Linked DNA regions of Diceros bicornis minor. The protein of the gene in region 1 purifies or fractionates together with the protein of each later gene. This does not show direct contact. Links are inferred from orthologs where the notes say so. Each region holds a gene or a part of one and is shown on either strand. Other genes may lie near its edges. The genes, in order: KIF5B and KLC1.

What was found.
Region 2: the proteins of KIF5B (region 1) and KLC1 purify together in Homo sapiens (co-immunoprecipitation; 11 studies listed by BioGRID and IntAct, counting the BioPlex papers as one, with this or other methods). This does not show direct contact. The link is inferred for Diceros bicornis minor from reciprocal best matches to the Homo sapiens genes KIF5B and KLC1.

Annotation. Positions count from the first base shown.
Region 1 is NC_080775.1:30,268,710-30,279,092, forward strand, and holds the start of KIF5B (kinesin-1 heavy chain), read right to left. Parts: upstream 6,724-10,383; 5' UTR 6,313-6,723; coding exon 6,187-6,312; intron 1-6,186. UniProt on the Homo sapiens protein: Microtubule-dependent motor required for normal distribution of mitochondria and lysosomes. Can induce formation of neurite-like membrane protrusions in non-neuronal cells in a ZFYVE27-dependent manner.
Region 2 is NC_080763.1:48,267,852-48,278,234, reverse strand, and holds the start of KLC1 (kinesin light chain 1), read right to left. Parts: upstream 5,664-10,383; 5' UTR 5,516-5,663; intron 1-5,515. UniProt on the Homo sapiens protein: Kinesin is a microtubule-associated force-producing protein that may play a role in organelle transport. The light chain may function in coupling of cargo to the heavy chain or in the modulation of its ATPase activity.

The DNA.
Region 1 (10,383 bases):
GGACGCTTCTAAAGGGCTATCCAAAGCCATTCCCCCAAATCCCCTTCCCCTTGCCACCTCCCACGAGACAGGCTGGAAAACTAACTACTTGTTAGCCTAGTCTTCCTTGCAATTAGTGGCCACATGACCCAGTTCTGGATACTATCAAGTAAGTGATGGTGTGCTGGGAGGTCTGAGAGAACGGTTTTGTTTTCCTGATAAAAAGGACCATCTCAGCTGAGGCTGCCCTTTCTCCTTTCCGGAATGAATGTCTGGAGCTGTAGCATCCATCTTGCAAACATGAAAAATATGTTGATGAAAAGTCAATAAGTAAGGATGACCGAGGATAACGAGTCAGTAAGTAGCAACAGTATAAAGGCTCATCTTCCAGACTTTTTATGTGAGAAGAATAACCTCTTATTTATTTAAACCGCTATTAGTTGTTTTCCCTCTGCAGCTGAGCGCATTCCTGAAGGATATACTAAGATGACCTCACTTTGGTGTTTCAGTGTCTAATTATTCTTTGGCTATGTATGACATATATAAAAGTGTCCCTTTGCTAAGATGCTATTGACACATTAACATTCAATTCTACAGGTGTGGCTAAAGGAAGACAATCTATTGTTTTACTGATAGTACAAGATGTATTTGTGATAAACAATTCTGAAAACAAACACAAATACAATCAAAAGAACAATCACCACCCAGAGATAAACCATGCTAATATTTTTTCTATGGAAAAAGAAAGTAATTTTCCCTCTTCATTTATCCAGCAAACATATATTTAGCACCTACAAAGCTATTGTAAATGAGTAACACAATTTCAGAAATTATATTTAATTAGTACACACTGTAGGGTTCAAAGAATAATAGAGGATAAGGCCGGGTAAGTCTTGAATACTAAGCCAAGATCCTGTATACTAGGATCTAATAAAAGTTATCAAGTGATGTTAACTAATTGACGGAGACAGCATCTAGCATTAAAGAACTCACAACCGGGCCGGCCCCATGGCTTAGGGGTTAAGTGCGTGTGCTCTGCTACTGGTGGCCCGGGGTTCGGATCCCAGGCGGCGCCGACGCACCCCTTCTCCGTCCATGCTAAGGTCACGTCCCACATACAGCAACTAGAAGGATGTGCAACTATGACATACAACTATCTACTGGGGCTTTGGGGAAAAAAAAAAAGGAGGAGGATTGGCAATAGATGTTAGCTCAGAGATGGTCTTCCTCAGCAAAAAGAGGAGGATTAGCATGGATGTTAGCTCAAGGCTGATCTTCCTCACACAAAAAATAAAAAATAAATAAAAATAAAAAAAAACCTCACAACCTGGTAAACATTCAAGAAGAGACTGCAATTAGCCAAAATATACATTTAATAATAGGCGTGTAGAAAAATAATATAAGAGCCAAAATTAAAGGATTAATTCTAATTTTGCTTGCAAGAAACAAGTTAATCAATAGATAATAAGTAAAAGTATGAATACAACTGTATCCCTCCAAAATAAATCAAATAATAAAATTTTATTAAAATAAACAACAAATAGAAAGAACACACACTACTGAGCTTTAAGTCATATCTCCATTTTCACATCAATAAAAAACAGTGCTCATAAACCATTTAGAAAGAGATATGCCAGGGGCCAGCCCCGTGGCGTATGGTTAAGTGTACGCGCACTCCGCTGCGGGTGGCCTGGGTTCGGATCCTGGGTGCGCACCGACGCACCGCTTGTCAGGCCATGCTGTGGTGGCGTCCCACATCAAGTGGAGAAAGATGGGCACCGATGTTAGCTCAGGGCTGATCTTCCTCACAGAAAAGAAAGAGGGAGGGAGGGAGGAAGGAAGGAAGGAAGGAAGGAAGGAAGATATATGCCAAAAATAACAGGCAACTGTAAAGCCTGCCTCAAAAGTACTTTATGCAGCTGTTTACTTCAGCATCACCTCATAGCAAATATGTAAACTACTACTACAATCTTATTAAAATAAGAATATGAACATGCAAAAATAAGAATAATCAAGTGGAGACTGAGTGATTTTGTAAAGGTGTTATATCACTGTTAAATAAAAAATTGACTTAAGTGCTTAGCATGAAGTTGACAAAATTGTCTTATTTTAATTCTGAAACTATATTATAATCTTATTAAGTAAGGCAAACGTTTTGATTAGAGATCTAGCTATAAAGTTACTAACTAACCCTTCCTTCCTGGGATGAAAAACAAGACTTGTAAAACATAAAAACCATTTGGTCTAACCAATAGGTCTTAATTATAGACCTAATGGTCTATAATTAAGGCACATCTCTTAACTAATAATCCATCAAATAAACAAAGGAAAACTCAGTATCTGGACACCTGTATTTTAAAAACCTGGTTCTTTAAAAACCTTTGAAATGTACATTATGCAGCCCTTATTTCTATGAATATTCAAAGATACTCGAAGTCACAAGATGCATTCACATCTGACTTAGACTTCCAGGGGACAAAACCAAATAAGAATAAATTTATTTGAACTGTAACCATATCTTAGATTTCTTAAGCTAAGTGGTTCCTGTTTGAGTCTGCACAGACCAGGCTGAACACCAAATTTGGTTATGAAGGACACCCTTCTGGCAGGGATATGCCTTTCTCTGGAATTCTGAGTAGTGATCTTGAGATCACATGGGATTATATCACACTAGATTTTCCTTAGTTTGACACTGATTGTGGGCTAACATTCCACAACTGTAAAGGTCTGTGATGATGGCTCCTTCTCTTTTAATTTCACTCTTATGGTAATCAGGATCAAACACCAAATCATCATTCACTTGAAAAGGGAAATCGTGTGCTACAGGCAAGGAACTAGGTGAGAATTAAGTTTATTCTCCTCTAATTTCAATGAACTACAACAGCCTAATTTTTGTTCTGGCAGCCTCTACAGCATACCATATAAGGAATGATGATTAGTAAACATACTTAATGATGTAAACATGCATGTTCCACTATTATGATGCATAAATAGATACAGGAGTAATTTTTTCTACCGACATTTTCCCCAACGTTTTCAGCAGGCTCATTTGAACTACATAAGGTGTTTCCCTTGCCCTCTCTTTTTTGTGGATAACAAGTTCTCTTATTTAAAGCAAACAGATTCTACCTGTATCACCTAAAGGCTTTAATAAAATAATTCATTTATTTCATTCAATATGTGATTATTTATAGCAGTTCACCAAGCACTTAATTACAAAAAAAATCTGTATAAACACAAAACACAGAGAAACACTATAAGATTATAAGATTTGCCTGCCATGAGGTTGCATTATACTAAAATCACATTACATGTGTAACAAGAAAAAAGTTTGGACAAAGTATTGGAAACTGAACTTAGATGAAAATCAGAATCCTTAAAAGTTATTTTCTACATGAGCACTGATTATACTTATAATTCTGTAACATTATAAACTAAAATACTTATTCTTTAAATTTTGATTTAACTAGAAGACTGTGAACAAAATGTTTTTAAATCATGTTTAAAATAATTTAGTTTTAAATGCTGCACAGAAGCAATTCCTTCTTAACTATTTATTTTGAATCAGATCAGGATCCAGTAAAATGAACAAAACAAACCAAGAGATGATTTTACCTAGAGCTTTTCTAATTTCATTCCTCCCAGCTGCCCTTATAAATTCCCAAACAATCTTTCAAAAAATAAAATGATTCTGGGGCTGGCCCGGTGGCACAGTGGTTGAGTTCCCGCACTCCATTTCAGTGGCCCAGGGCTTGCGGGTTCGGATCCCGGGCAAGGACTTCGACAGCGCTCATCAAGCCATGCTATGGCGGCATCCCACATACAAACTGGAGGAGGATTGGCACAGATGTTAGCTCAGGGCCAATCTTCCTCAGCCCCCCAAAAAATAATAATAAAATAATTCATTTAAAAAACTGAACAATATGAGACCTCAGAGTAATTAATAACTTACTATATGCAAAAGATTAGTTCCTGCAAATAATAAACTAAACATGTTGCCTTACAATTTTTAAGGCTATGTCACTCAGTTGTATTTTTGCTTATACTTTTTAAAAAAACCAAACTAAAATGCTTACTAGTTTACCTAAAGGCCAACTAACTGCATTACTGATTCACAACGCAATCACCTATTCATTATTTCTAATATTATCATTTAAATTTATTTATACTACTAAAGAAATTTATATAAGGAACTTATGATAACTTTATCCAAAGAAAACAACCTAGAACTAATGTGTGCTTCCTGTGGTAATTATTTATTTTCCTTTAGCTCTTTCTTCATATTTTATGTCATATTTGGGCTGCTTCAGAAGGCTGTCTTCTAACCTAATCTTAATACATTTTGTCAATTCTAAATTCTAGCATTCCAACAAATGAATCTTAGTGATACCTATAGATTTGTGTAAACACACACATACGAATCTAGAAACATAAGACATTCTTAACACAAGTCTAAAAGGAAAATAGCTTTGATGTGTCAACCACTGTTGAGGTTGAGTAATCACAAAAACTCTTCGTGAGAAACTGGTAGCCTCAAGTTTGCCCACTAACAACCCAGGCCTTGCAAGCTTCCTCCGATTCTATGTAAAACACGTCATCCTAAAGAAAGTAATACTTCTGTGCTTAACTTATTGGCCTCACTCTGATGACATTATGGCAAGAGTTTTTGCGGTCTTGTTAACAAAGAACCAGCCTGACAGTCTGCACAGTAGTAGCTGGCTGGCAGTTGTTAGTAACCTAATGGCTCATTTGCCAAAAGCCTACGGAGCAACTTTGGAGCTATGACATTCATTTTTTAAAGCTGAGCTTTGGAAACTTTCCCATAAAAGCTCTAAAGAACTTTAGCCAGTCTTATATGTCAATGCTTTTAATCATCAATGTCCCATCTCCTGTGACACTGTCCTATTTCCAAATTAAACTCTCCACAAACAATATGCTAAACACAGAATGCCATAAGAGAAAAAACTAACGTTAAAACTTTTTACCATGATAGCATGGTATGTAGAATATACCATATATAGAAAATATAATATATAAAATAATATACCAATATAGAAAAAAGTTCTGCCACATGGCATTACCGAGAAAGATGAATTTAATTTTTAGTCACAGTTCACTGTTCTGTATGCAGTTTCTTAATATTCATTTTAATCTCCTTCAACTGGGAATGTTATTTTCAGAGACCTTTCAATACCAGAGATCAGACTTCAAAAAAAAAAAATCAACCTTACATTCTAGTCTCCCTTACAATGATTCAGCCAACTCTGGTTATATTTTATACTACAAATGGACAATATCTCTCACCATCCTTGGGAGTATCAAAATTAATTTTCTTCAAGATGGATCTTAACTGTAGAAATAGGAATCTAATACTAACAAGAAATCTAGTTTACTGGTCAAATTTTATCTTTTTTTAAAAGCTTGCTTTTATAATACTTTGTCTGATATACACACAAAAAAGCTAACACTCTTCCCTAGACTGTTACCCCATAAAACCTGGGCACTTACTTGACCCGAACTGAATTGGCTAGATTTGCAAGAAGATTAAACAAAGTTGATCACTCAGATTTTAAAAGAAAACTCAAGATTCTTTTTACAGTCCTCGATTAGTCATTTTTGTCAACATGAAAATTCATTCATCACTCAAAAGGCGGTGGTTAAACATTTGAGAAGCAGGTATATTTGTAGTTGTTTGATCGTTTTTCCTTCTCCCGCGGGAGAAACAAAATATAGCTCAACATGCAGTTATGTTTCTATAAACTGAATATCTTTACTATCTAAGGTAGAGCAGGGCTGATTTAGAGCTCAACGTTCCTAGCTGAACTTTAATCTCCCCTACTTTACGAACGGCAAATTTGAGGGTGGTCCAACACACCACCGGCCTCAGCCCAACAAACGCACACGCACAGACACCCTGGCAATCGCATGCACTGAACTCGCTCCCCGGACAGTTCCTCCAGCGCCCCAGGTAGGGGAGTGTCCCGGGCGGAACCGGGCGCCTCCCGTCTGCCGGCGCGGAAGCAGGGGTGGGGGCGACCAGGATGAGCCGGGGGCTGCAGTCGCGCTCCCCTGGGGGATCGGAGCCTGCAGACTCCCGGGGCTCTGGGACACCACCGTTCTCTCATTCTGCACCCGCCCCTTCCCCAAGCTCCAGGCCCCGTCAGGCCCGAGGGCGCGGGACGGCGCGTGGGGGTGCGGGTCACTCACCGCCATCATGACCGTGTCTTCTCCCTGAAACTTGGCGACGTACTTATCGCCGCGGTTCACCTCGGACTCGTTGAGAGGTCTGAAGCGACACATCACTTTGATGTTGCACTCGGCCGGGTCCGCCATCTTCCTTGCTGCCGCGGCCGGAGGCCGGGAGCCACTCCCTGCCGCTCAGTCTTGGAGGAAGCAGGCCCGAGCTGAAGGTCTGGGGTCGCGAAGGCCGAGACAGGAGCAGCCCGCCGCGTCGCGCTTCCCCCGGCGGGAGCGGCCGGGGAACCGGGACTCGAAGCGCCGGCCGGCAACCGTCGCCCTGAGGCTCACTTCCGATCCATCATGGCAGCCATGGCGGCGCCGGGTGGAGCGTCCGCGGCTCCTCGGCCTCTTCCTCGCCGGCCTGGGCACGCGGCGGGGATTAGAGGGATCCTGCAGACCGGGGAAGTGGCCCCCTCCTTCTTCCTCGGAGAGAGCACGCCGGGCCCACCGTCTGCCCTCCCGGCAGACCACTCGCCGGCTTGCCGGCTGCCTCCCGATCACTCCTAAGGCTGCGGAGGGGCGACGGGGCGGTGGGATGGGCGGCGCGGGAGGAGCATGGCGCATGCGCGGAGGGCCCCTGCGCCCGGCGACCAATCCGCGGCCGAGCCGGGCCGCGCCGCCGCCAGTCTCCGCCCGGGGGTCGCAGATTCGAGTGTTACTGGACGGTCCCTCACCGCAGTAATTTCGGTCACCCGGCTGCCGCTTCCCTCACCATCTGGCCGCCGAATTCCCCAGAACTGAAGCAGACGCATTTAGCTTCCTATTTTTTAGGGGACAGGGAGTCTTTATAACTAGTTTATTTTGTAGTTTGTTCACATAAAATACTATATTTCTATAAGGAAATGTTTGCTTCTGGCTGGTCTGGAGATGAAATTGATTTCTAGCCCACCCTCTCAGAGCGCTTTGCCAGAAAAAGGAAGATTTGAATGAGGGATGGGACATGGCACTCTGGTTTAAGTGGTTGCTCTTTCCTGAGAGAGAGGGTTGGGGAGATAGGAATAAGAAAGAAAAAAGGAATTTCTCCTAAGGAATGAAGGCGGTTGCTGAAGAAATGTCAAAGAGTAGGATGAGGTGGGAGAAGGCCCTCAGTGACTCGGAGGTTCCGCTTCCCTGGGAATAAATAAACGTATGGAACTCGTCAGTCTCAACACTAGAAATGACTGACCTGGAGCGTCAAGATGGTCTTAAAAGGCCTGGATAAATTTGTGGATTACATGTCTAAGGAAAACCACTCCACAGTTGATTTCGCCTCCAATTTTCAGAACACGGATACCATAAAAACTCCTCAGGTAGAAGTGGCTCTGAGGTGCTGTGGAAGGAGAGCTACAAAAACAATTAGGAACCCTTCCTCTGGTCCCCAATTTTTGTTTGTAAAATGAAGGATTGGACTATGAAAACCTCCAATGCCCTCTGTCCTCACCGAATCATCCAGAAATGAATCCATAGTCCAACGAATTCAGGTTTATTGATCCACTGCGATGAGGGAGAGCTCACACCAGAGGAACCATGGGGCCTCTTGCCAAAAAAAGGAAAAGATGGAGTTGTTACAGGGCGTTGGGGGAAGTGTGGAATTTAGGTAAAATTTAAATGAAGCTGTGTGTTCGATGGGCTCTGAACAAAGCAGAGCTGTGGTCCCAGGTCTGGACTACAAGCGGACCCAAGGTCCTGTTTCCTTGGAAACTACCAAGTTAAGATAGATATGGAATGTTGTCTTCAGAAACCCCTTTTCCAAAGCTCTACACCTGGCTTGGAAATCAATCAAGACTGATTCTCTGTCTTAGATCCTCTAGGCAAGAGTGGAATGCTTTATTCTTACCGATATAATTTCAAACAGCAGTTTCTAATAGTCTATGATTTTAGAGAACCAAGTCCTCAGTGAGTAAGAAAGCAGTAGTCACTCCAAGAAGGAGGTTGTTGTGGCAGGTGGGCCACCAGTTTTCAACCTTTGCAAGCAGAATCTCATGAAGGCTCTGTCCTCAGCCCTCTGCTCTTTTCTCTCTGTGAAAAGAGAGAGAAGCTTCAACAATTGCTGGAATCTCTTATCTACAACCCTGATCATGTCACCTGTGTGATATTCCCATCTCTCCAGCTGCTTGTAGGCCACTTTGTTTAGGATGCTCAACCTTAACCTCAAATTTAGCATTCCAGAGATGAAATTAATTATCCTCTACTGCCTGCCAACACTTAATTCAACTACTCAACTTTCTAGTTTTGATGACCAGTATCAGCATTCTTCCATACTCCCAGGCTAAAAAAGTTGCAATCACCTGTTACTTCACTATTTCCTTCACCTCCTGTACACGTGGAAGAGAAACATGGTCTGCATCTGAAGTTCCTCAACTTCCCCTCCACCATTCCTGTTTGTTCCCCAACTCAGAAAATCTGAGGAATGATTGTTCTAGAGCAGTGATTTTCAAATTCTATTACATGGAACAGGGGCTCCAAAGAGGTGGCTCAGGAGATTTCATGGGTGTGGGGAGGGAAAGGAGGTGAATGGAAGGGCCAAGGAGTGAAGCTCCGGGAACCTCTGCTGCTCAAGACAGTTCTGTTGCCTTTCAACATTTGCCCCTTCCTTCCTCCTGCACAACAGATTCTGGAAGCTCAGCCTTTATGAAAACAAAATCCAGAAAGGGAAGTATCTGCAAGAGGCTTCTGCTTTCGGATCTGACATACACACTTCTGGGGAAGGCAGCACAAAGAGCCTGACTCAGCACAGGACCGGGAAGGTGAAAAATGCTATGTGAAAAACAATATATTTCTAAAAATTGTCCTGTCACACTAGTGAGGAATAGTGGTATCAGGCAATAGAGTTTAAGAAATATTTTCATAAGGAAACAAAAGATTGATTTAAAAAAACCTGGTTAATCCCAGTTTTTCTTCCAAATATGGAAAGGACCACCATTATTCAACATTGGCAGTGAAACAGCAGGTTTCCCTGAGAGTACAGTTTGAGACTCATTAACGTAACTTTTTTTTATGAAAATGAGTGGTACCTGCATCTATGCAGATTTAGAGCCTGAAATCTCCACTGTGGAAGTTAGCCACTACAGATAGTCTTCCAATGAACCACGCCTACCTGGATTCACACCATTGTGGAGTCTCTTTCCTTGAATCTTGGCTGGCCCTTTGACTCACTTGTAACCAATATAATGTAGCAGAAGTGTGACACTATGTGCTATCTGAGACTGGGAAGAAGCCTTATAGCTTCCACTTAAGTCTCTTGGAACACTCTTTCAGGGAGCTCTGAATTGCCATATAGGAAGACCCACTCCTCTGAGAACACCATGCCAGAGAGGCCATATATACGTAGGCACTCTAGTCAATAGTTCCAGCTGATCCCAGCCTTCCAGCCATCCCCACCCAGGCACCAGACTTGTGAGGGAAGCCACCTTAAACTTTCCAGACCAGCACATCCACCAGTTGATTACCAGTGAGTAATCTCAATTGACACAGAAGAATCACCCAGCTGAGGCCTGCTCAAATTCCTGATCCATAAAATCATGAGATGTAATAAAATGGTTATTGTTTTAAGCTACTCAATTTTGAAAATTTGTTATATAGCAATAGATAACTGGAATAATAACCTATGACTTGGAACTTTATCTCCTGGAAATAATCCTCTAAAACGTTACTTATGTATAATAGATGTACTTAGATTGGACTATATTTTATTTATTTATTTATTTATTTATTTATTTATTTGGTGAGAAAGATTAGCCCTGAGCTAACATCTGTTGCTGATCCTCCTCTTTTTGCTGAGGGAGATTGGCCCTGGGCTAACATCCCTGTCCATCTTCCTCTACTTTGTATGTGAGAGGCCTGCCACAGCATGGCTTGATAAGTGGTGCATATGTCTGCACCTGGGATCTGAACCTGCGAGCCCCAAGCCACCAAAGCGGAGTGTGCTAACTTAACCTCCATGCCACTGGGCTGGCCCCAGATTGGACTATATTTTAGAGTTATTATAAATAGTTGGAGGAGGTATAAGAACATAACCACTGTTTATGACATTATTACTGTAAGAAAATTTGTTTCATATTTAATGTGAAGTGACTTTTTAAAAAAGGGTATTTAGGATTGGCCCCGTGGCCTAGTGGTTAAGTTCAGCGTGCTCCACTTCAGCGGCCCGGTTCGGTTCCTGGGCGCAGATCTACAACATTCGTT
Region 2 (10,383 bases), on another chromosome or scaffold:
ACAAAAACAGGGCTGGCCCCATGGCTTGGCGGCTGAGTGCTCGCGTTCCGCTGCTGGTGGCCCGGGGTTCAGATCCCGGGCACGCACCGACGCACCGCTTCTCGGGCCATGCTGAGGCCGCGTCCCACATACACCAACTAGAAGGATGTGCAGCTATGACATACGGCTATCTACTGGGGCTTTGGGGGAAAATAAATAAATAAATAAAAATTATAAAAAAAATAAAAAAATAAAAACAAAAACAGAGAAGACAACAGAAAGCAGAAACCATAAAAGAAAAAAATTGATAATGTGGACTTAATCAAAATTTAAAACTACTGACTATTAAAAGGCATAGCCGGAAAACAAATAGTTAAGTCCCACATTAGGAAAACGTTTTTTTCCTCAACATATGTATCTGGCAAAAGACTTGTACCCAAATATGTAAAGAACTCCTACACTCAAAAGACAAACCCAGTTTTTCAAATGGGCAAAAGACTTGCGGAGATGTTATTTAACAGGTATAGAGTTTTAGTTTTGCAAGATGAAGAAGTTCTAGAGATCTGTTGCACAACAATGTAAATACACTCAAGACTACTGAACTGTACACTTAAAAATGGTTAAGATGGTAAATTTTGTGTTTTTTACCACAATTCAAGAAGGATAGAAATTAACATATTTCTCCCCCGTTTGGTCAATAATACAAATCCTTTCCAAACAGGTAGAATAAGTGAACTTTAAGAGAAAACACACCACCTGTATTCACCATAAGAATAAAGAATCAACTTTTACTGACCACCTATTCTATGCCAGGCTCTGTGAAGAACACAAATACTACAATGCCAATATGGTGACCAAAACACCACACATGGAGTTACCATGACGACACTGCATTACCGGGGCTTTGGAAATGGAAAAACTGGGGCAAGGGTTTCCCAGGTGAAGGCAACTAGAGGACTGAGGTGAGCATTATAGTGATTCATGACAGCAAGGTGGGGCAATGCTTGAAATGTACAAGCAAAAGACTTGAGTTAGAAGCCTGACTTCTCAGCTGTGTACCTCTGGTTTAAGGAACTTGCCCTCTCTAGCCCTCAACTTCCTCAACAGTAGAAGAGAGGTGATTACAGCACCAATTTTATCTGGCATGGTGCTAACTTTACTATTATCATGCTAACTTTACTATTATCAGTTTTGTTAGCAGTAGTATAGTGAACTTTACGAGAGGCTGGGACATAAATTGCCACGTTATGCAATCAGAGTCAGGGAACAATCCAAGGTTTAAATTGAGGTAACTGGGATATTTTAGAATGAAGGAAATAACTTCTACTTTACATATGCACTTAACTCAGCTTAAAATGCTTGTTCCATTGATATTCACTTATCCGCTTTATTAAGTACGGACAACATACCGAGCATACAGTCATGCGACACATAAAGACATGTCAGTCAATGACGGAGCGCATCTACGACGACGGTCCCATAAGATTAGTATCGTATAGCCTAGGTGTGTAGTAGGCTATACCATCTAGGTTTGTGTAAGTACACTCTATGATGTTCACACAATGACAAAATCACCTAATGATACATTTCTCAAACATGTCCCCATCGTTGAGCAACACAATTGCATTTAAAAGCACAGATCCAAATTGCTTTCATCTGCCCCTAAAAATTAGTTAAAACAAAAATAAAATCATAATTCATTTTTGATCTAAGAGTCTATTATCCAGGAGGTTACAGGGCAGAATGACACAAGGATGCCTTGGGAGAAAGAATACAGGCCATCTTTGAACTAGCCCTCCTGCCGTAGGAGGCAATATTCTCAGGAAAAATTTGTTTATTTATTTTTTGAGGAAGATCAGCCCTGAGCTAACATCCATGCTAACCCTCCTCTTTTTGCTGAGGAAGACGGGCTCTGAGCTAACATCCATTGCCAATTCTCCTCCTTTTTTTTTTCCCCCCAAAGCCCCAGTAGATAGTTGTATGTCATAGTTGCACAGCCTTCTAGTTGCTGTATGTGGGACACGGCCTCAGCATGTCCGGAGAAGCGGTGCATCGGTGCGCGCCCGGATCCAAACCTGGGCCGCCACCAGCGGAGCTCGCGCACTTAACCGCTAAGCCACGGGGCCCGCCCCTCAGGAAAAATTTAAAGGGTCACTAATAACCTCATAGAAGCCAAATCCAGTATATTTTTCTGTCCAAATCCTCCCTGACTTCTTAGCCAATTTGCTATTGACCTCCTCCTCTTGCCTTTCCCAGGGCTCACTCCTCCTACCCTTAGGGCCACTTCAGTCTCTACTAAGTGTCAGATGCTCTCCTGGAGAGGTCATTATAGATGCTGCCTCTGGCTTTGGATAACATGGTGAGGTCTCTCAAATCTGTATCTCCAGCCCAAATCTTTGTCTTGAGCTCCAGACCTGAATCTCCAACTGTCCACTGGTCCACGCGGCCGCCCCACAAGCACTTCACATTTAAGCTATCCAGAACCATCTCACCAGCTTCTCCTCCTCCTCTCATTTTCCCCATCTTGGTGGGTGTCACCAGCCAGTGAGTCACACAGTTGGAGACGAGGAAGTAATTCTAGATGCAGTCCTTCAATAAACATTTATTAAGTGCTTATTACATGCCAAGCACTGACACTGACTACAACAGATAAAAATCCCCATCCTCGTGGAGCTTATGGATGTTAAGTGGAGAAAACAGACAATAAACTAAATAATAATTAAGTACAATAATACAGTATTGTAGCAAGAAGTACTAGGGAGTGTGTGGGGAAGTGAGGACAGTGACACCCAGGACAGCAGGCTTAGGATGCACCTGGATGTGCCTCAGTGAGGGTGAGAATATGAAGAGGGAAAGAGACAGGGATGCGGGTGCTTACAGGACAATGGCAAAAACTTCAGCAGAGAGACATGACCCGCCTTATGTTTTAGCAGTTCGCTGTGGCTGGGCACACTGCTGATCTGTCTCTTCCTGCCTGCAGCCCGACCCTTACCCCAATCCACTCAGTCCCAACTCAGGGCCACTCTAGTCCATCAATCCCTCTCTGACACATCTGTTCCTTTGTTCCTACTGTCACTGCCCTAACTCAAAAGTTTACAGTCCTCACTTGGGGTTAATGGCTTCCTAACTAGTCTTATCTCGGTTCAAAGCACCTGCCACACTGCCTATGCTCTTTCTAAAATGTCACCTCTCTCCTTAGAATCCTCCAATCGTCCTTCCTACCCTCAGGGTGAAAGCAACCCCCTTATGCAGGCTGTACAACACCTTTCCACTCACACCCCTTCCCAACACTCCCCTTTACTGCAGCACTACCTCAGGGCTTATGTCCTCCAGAACCACCAATCCCACCGTCATTTGGCCAATTTGTACTTTCCTTCCAGTCTCATATCTGGAATCCCCTCCTCAGGGCACTCAGCACAGTATTTAACCTAATCTGTAATACCTGTCGACTTCTCAACTTCTCCCATCTCCCTCGCCAGACTGTGAGCTCTTAGAAGTCTTATCTGTATATCCCCAACTACTTAACACAGCACCTGCCATTCGTTTGGTTCTCAAAAGATGTTTAAGACTGTGCTTTTACAATCTTAACATGCTAATCATTTTTAGTCTATGCCCTGAAATCTGACACCTAAAACTTTCCTGTATCTTGTTCAGAATATTACTGATCACTTCTTTGTAACATAAAGTTCTGGTTTCTCATCATATTCCACCTATGTTTGGAGGTTATAAAAATTCTACATTTTTTCAACTTTTGACTTTTCTATTTCTTGGGTTTTGTTTGACACAATTATATTTTAAGATAGTTTATAGCCCATATGGAAAGCTACACACTGACTTATCTATCTTTCAACATTATGAAACATTCTTAAGAATGTATAATTTTAAAAAAGAATGTAAACTTTAAGTAACTGTAGTTAAGTTTTTATTACTATGAAATATTTAAGATATTATATGCCCCTCCCCAGTGGCATTTCCTCCCTCCTCCTTGCTGGAGACTATCACTGTCCTCATTCCCGTGCATGTCTTTCTACCTTTACTACATACTGTCTACACTGTTTTTAGAAGACATTGCCAAGCAAGGTGAATGAGCCAGGCCGCAGTGAGGTTAACACCCTGGGTCCTCCACACCCCTCCGTAACAGCACAGGGCTGCCAGGCTCCACTGCAACATGATGTTGCATTCTTTGATGACTTGGAGAAACCGGCTCTTAAGAGTGCCTACCCTCCCACATATAATTCCACACAATCTGAAATTTGTAATATTTAGTATCACTGCATTCTTACAGATACTTAGGAAACAACAATGAATCAAATTTCCCACCCTAAGGCCTGTGGCCAGTGCCTGAAAAACATAAATCTGGAACTGTAATAAGATTATGAGATTTAAGGAGGTTGTTCCAATTTCCTAATGGGTTTTTCACTGAACTATTACAATGTATTCTGAGCTAATGACTCTGATCAATGGCTCAGTTATGCTGTACAAAAAAAAGCCTTGGAATTTAACTAATGCAAAGAATCAAAGAACCAACTGCCCATTTACCCAGCAGTTAAACGGTGTATCTCAAATTTTCTGTTGTTCTCACACTTTTTAAAAACATCATTTTTGCAAGTACTCTTTAAACTCTAAATGTGCTGTTTAAATAAAAAAACAGTAATAAGCAGCAACAATATAAAATTTCCAACACAAAACTACCTAGATCTACAAACCTTAAATTGTAAAACCATCCAATCCACCAGGCACTAATTTTACTTTTTTAGTCCTTTATTTAATATTTTCAAGGAAAGAGATGCACCACATTTGACAACCAACTAGATATTCCAGCACTGGGGCTGCTGTAAGTTTAGACGAACACTGAGGATGAAAGGTTACCCGTCTTGCTACTAAAAGAAAGGGATCGCCGAGGAGGCGAGGTCGAGCCGGCCTCTCGGGGGAACCCACACGCTTCCGACCCGCCCGGCCGCCGGTCGCCCGCGAGCCTGACAGGCGCGCCCGCCCAGGGCGGTGCCACGGGAGAGGGCGGCGGCCGGAAGGAAGAGGGAGGATTCGGACAAAGCAAACGCGGCCGGCCGCCCCCTCCTGCCCGCCGCGTCCCGGGGGCGGCCACATCCCCCGTCGCGCGGCTCCCGGGACCACAGCTGTTCCCGGGCGCGGCCGCCCCCGCCCGCAGCAGGGCCAAGCCGTGGATGCGGGGCTGGGGCGGGGCTGGGGCGGGGACCCGAGCCGGGATGGAGACGCGCACGGGACCCGAATCTGGAGCGGACGTGAATGGGGCGGCGGCCAGGGACGGGAAAAGATCATGGATGAGGACCGAGGTCCGCGGCCCCGGGAGGGGGCCGGGAAGCGGACAGGAAGGGGACGTGGATGAGGACCGCGGTCTGCGGCCCGGGGAGGGGACCGGGAACGGGAAGGCAAGAGGAATAACCACGGCTGAGGACCGAGGACTGGGCCCGGGGCGGGGTCGGGAGAGGGCCTGAGGGCGACAGGGGTGAGGACGGGGACCGAGGAGGGGACGCGGGTGAGGCCCGCCCGCACTCACCGTGCTGCTCCGCCGGCCGCGCGCTCGCGCTGTCAGCACCGGGAGGCCGCGGCGCGTGCGCGGAGCGGGACTGCGCGGGCCCGCCGCCTGGACGCCTCAGACGCGGCGCCGCGGTCACGAGCGAGGGATGCCGGCGCGGCCGCCCCGCAGCATCCTCGGCCGCCCGCCCGCGCTGTCCCCGCGGCTCCTTCTCGCAGCCGCCGCCCCGCACCCAGCCGGCTCCGGCTCTGCCGCTCCCGCCGCCGAAAATGGCGTCTCCGCGTCCCTCCCCCGGCTGGGCGCTCCCGCCCCACAATGCCGCGCGTCGCCGTGACGTCATGCCGGGGGCGGGCCCGGGGTGGCTCCCGCGGCGCTTGGCTAGCCGAGGACCGGGTGCGGTCGGGGCCGGCTGTCCACGCGAGGGGCGGGGCGTGTGCCGGCTGTCCACGAGAGGGGCGGGGCGTGTGCCCGCCGTGGGTGGCCCCGCGCGGGCGCGGCTGCCCCCGACCACCTAGCGCCAGGCTGTCGTCCCTCCCGGCGCGCGGTTGGGAGTGTGGCCTGAGGACGGCTCCGGCCCAGCATGGCCGGTCGGTCAGCCCTGCGTCCCGTCCATTCCCTCCTATACCAGGAACAACGCTGTGTGGCAACCCCGTATGCACGTGTGTCATGTGCTCGTCTGCTTCTTTCCAGAACACGTTAGGAGGGCTCTCACCAGCGCCTCCAGAGGACAGAATGCTGAGAGGCTAGGCTAAGCCAGGAGGCCTTTCTCCCTCCTCCAGGAAAACCTACAGCCTTTGGTCAAGACCCGGGACCCCAGACCCCTGCGCCTTCCCATCTCGTTACTCCCTCTCCCCAGGACCATTGCAGCCTCAGAAATAGAGGGGAATTTCGGGGCCCTCCCGTCAGCCACAAAGGCCTCCCACGAACTGCACCTCAGTCTGGTAAGAGAGACCGGGATGCTTAACCACTAGTGCCTGCAAGAGCAGAGATGCCACTCCCTGCTGTCGCACCCCACCGGCGCCATCGCCCGCGCACACACCGGGCTGCAGTGCCACAACCTCCAGCCCCCGCCTGAAGGGCAGTACTTCCAGGTCAGAGAGAGCCCCTGGCCTCATCCTGCTGCATCGCGAGCTCTGCAGGCCTGACTCAGCAGCCAGCCAGGAGGAAGCATGCTGAATCAGTGCGCAAGGCTCAGTTGTCTTTGCCTGCCACCAGCTTGGGAGAACCGCGCCCCAGGTGCCTGCAGATGTCCCAAGTGCAGGGCCCCGTTAATCAGGAGGGGTTCCTGTGCCAATCTCCCACCCCCATTCGCTCTTCAACTGCTCTTCAGATGTTATCACCCAGCCCTGCCGCCCTGTTTTAACCCCGCAATTACACAGTCACGGAGAAGTAAGTTCTCCTAGATTTTCACAGGGAGGTCCAGTTACTTTGCTTTCGTTTATAAATGCAAAGAAGAGGTAAAAAGGGGGGAGTTCCTACAGTGACACAGCAGTTACTGGGCAGAGGGAGAGGCAGTGAATCAGAGTCAAACAACCCCTCCACACTCTGGTAGTGATTTGGCCACACTGCAGCTTGGATGTCACCTGCTCCTCAACCACTTTGGAGCTGGGCGAGGCAGCTGTGACCAAAGTGCTCTGGAGAAGAGAGGAGCCGAGGCTCCTTTCTCTGTCTGTGACTCTGGACTCAGTAACTGTCCCCAAGCTAGAAACCTGAGATGCTTATGCCCTCTTCTGATGGGTGGCCAAGAATCTACCTCCTTAATGTTGCTTTACTCCATCCCTTCTCCATCCCCACTGCTGCCACTCTGTTTAGGCTTTATTGTCTCGTTCTTTTATTCTCTCAACAAATATTTGTTGAGCTGCGGTGGTCCGCACGATACGAGCCAAGATATGTTGGTAAACAGGATAGTAAGATCCCTGCTCATGCAGTGCCATGCAGAGAATTAAAGTAAGATGATGCAACAGGCAGAGGCGAGGTGGTCGGGGTGAACTCTGAGGCAGGCAGGTGCGCTGAGACTTAAATAGTAGGCAGGAGCCAACGGTGCAAAGCCTGGGGGAGAACACGCCAGGCACAAGTCCTCAGGCAGGAATGAGTCTGCAGTATTGGGGAAAAGAAAGAAAAGGCCAATTCATCCACCACATCCTGAATCTGACCACGTCACTTCCCTGCTGAAAATGCTGCGATGCACCTATCCCTCTGAGAGTGGCGGGGCTGGCGCCTTCCTCACCCAGCGTCTCAAACTAAGACTAACAAGTCCTGCCCTCACTGAGCTGCCCTGCCCTGAGCGTCCTCAGTCCCTTTCAATCCTCTGCTCCTCACAGAAACTCCGAGAGAGGTGCTGTTATCCCCATTTAACAGATGCTGCAGCTGAAGCCCTGCAAGTTCCGTGGTTTGCTTGCTGCTTCCCAGAGAGGGAGTAACTCAGCTTTAGGAATCAAAACAGAGCCCTGCTCCCAGTGCAGGCACTAGCAGAGCCAGGAGTCAATGCCTTTGTGGTGGGGGAGCCTCAGCAGAGCTACTCACAGGCAGCAAACCCATTATCTGTTCTTCCCTACAAACCCAGAGGACCAGGGCCCAGGGAAGCAAACACCTGTTTGCACAAGTCCTAGTGGCCTCTGAGCATCCCTGTGGCCAACAGCCTGCTGAGTTAGCTAGGGTCCTGGTGGGGTAGGACTGTGCCCCAGGGGGCAGCCAGGGACCTTTGGCCAGGGCCCAGCCCGCACCCCACCCCCATGCAGCAGGACTAGGGGTTCCTCCAGCAGACGTGAGAGCAGGGAGCAGGCTCTCTCCTTGCTCCCTTGTAAGCGCTCTTCCATTTTGGAAAAGGCATCCTGCGTGGTGTGAGCCAGCTCCTCCTCCTTCTCTCTGCCTGTCTCTGTCTCTCCATCCTCCTACTTTCCCCAAAGGGAGAGGCTGTGTCCTCTGCCCTCATCTGTTTCTGTCTCCTTCCCAGCTCTGACTCTTTCACTCTCCTGCTCCGAAACCTGACAGATCAACAGGCAGCCTGGAGATCTAAACAGAGGCTGGGGCTGGAGTACAGATTTGGAGGCAGCCTACAGTGCGCAGATGAAGCTGGGGCTGAGGTCCCTGGTCCAGGAAGAGTGAAAACATCCACACGCGTCCAGTGATGCAACACTGACCTCCTGCGGTTTGCCAGGCACCTGGACGTCAGAGATAAACCAGGAGCATACAGTCTCCCAATCATTCCGTTCCCAATATTTATGGAGTACCACTAGTGTCAGGTGCGAGGCTGCGCAATGGGAGAACAAGGCGCCCCTGTGTGGGGGAGCCGACAACCCGCGGGAGCAGAGACAGGAGGCCTGGTTCAGGCGCTGAGCGGGGAAGCTGTATGTCCCTCAGGGATCAGGGGACTCCATGGAAGAGGAACATTCACATGGTAGGTGGGAAGGACCCAGCAGATGAAGGTCCAAGTGGGGGAACTGCAGGAAGAGATGCACAACGTGGAACCAACCACACAGTCTCATTTTGGCAGCCTGGTGGGGCTGGGAAGCTGTACTTGGGTGTGTGTCCTTGGGATGGGAGTGGTGACCTGTCTGAGTGGCCTTGTCAGGAGAGGGGCTGCACACACATGGAGGGACAGGAGCTGGGAGGGTAAGCAGAGGCAGTGCAGCCAGGACTCCCCCAGCTCCCCGCCAGCCAGCTGCGTTCCCCTGTCCCCCTCTCTTCCAGGGCGGCCTCCTCCCACCCCCTCCCCCAGCCTGGCCCCCACCTCTCACCCTCATTCTGGCCAATGCCTAGCCTGCATGAGGCAGGGGATGAGGGGCTGGTGCGCCTCATCTGGGGAGGGGCAGCCTGGTGTCTGGGCCAGGGCTAATCCGGGCTCCTCTGCCTTGCTCTCCACCACAAGCCACACCCTCTCTGGTCTCTGGCTTCAGTTTTGAAAATGGCATTTATCAGATTTTCAGGGTGTTTTTCCTTTAAAGAGCTGCAGCTGCTGGCATTAAGCCCCAGTGACTGCGCCTTCGCCTTCGGACAAAGGGGAAAACAGCAGCACTTTGAGTAGGAAGGAAGTGGGAGGAGGGAGTGGGTTGGCTCTGGGGGGAAGCCCAGCCTGCTCCCTCAGTCTCTCTCTCACACATTTTTCCCTGATGCAGGGGGATTGAGGCCTGGGTCCTGCTTGGTGAAGCTTGGCTCCTGCAGGAGTTCCAGGGTCCCCAGCATTCCTGACCAGTCACCTCCACACGCCCTCTGGGCCAGCCTGATTCTGAGTACAGCTGAAGTGAGGCAGCCGGTTCCAGGCTGAAGCCTTAAGAAGGCCCCGGAGATTTCACTTTTGTGCTTTTCAGAACCTGAGTGGCCATGTAAGAAGGCCAGCTGCCCTGCTGGAGAGGCCCAGACATCCCTGTCCCCTGAGCGCTGCCTTCTGGCTGTCCCCTGGGGCACCAGGCCATGAGGGAAGCCGTCTTGGATGGTGAGACCAATGTACAGAGCCATCCGTGGGACCCAGGATGTCTCCAGATGAGGACTGATGCTTCAATGCAGGCAGGGAGGGCAATGGAGCCTGTGCTAGAGAAAGATCAGTCTGGCTGTGTCTGCATTTGTTGTCCCCAAATGTGTCAACAGACAGAAAAACTTGTATAGCAAACTCACACATACCCACCACTGAGATTCCACAATTAGCCAATGGGCCTTCTTTGCTTTGTTCTGTTTTGTTTGACTATAGGTTAGTTTTGCCTGTTCTAGCATTTTATATAAGTGGAATCCTACCGTATCTGCTTTTTGTATCTGGCAACTTTCACTCAACTAATAGTGTTGACGTTCATCCATGATGTTGTGTGTTTGACGGTCTCCTGTTGATGAGAACCTGAGCTGCTTCCATTTTGGTTCATATGAAAGAAGCTGATCTGAACTTTCTCATGCAAGTCTTT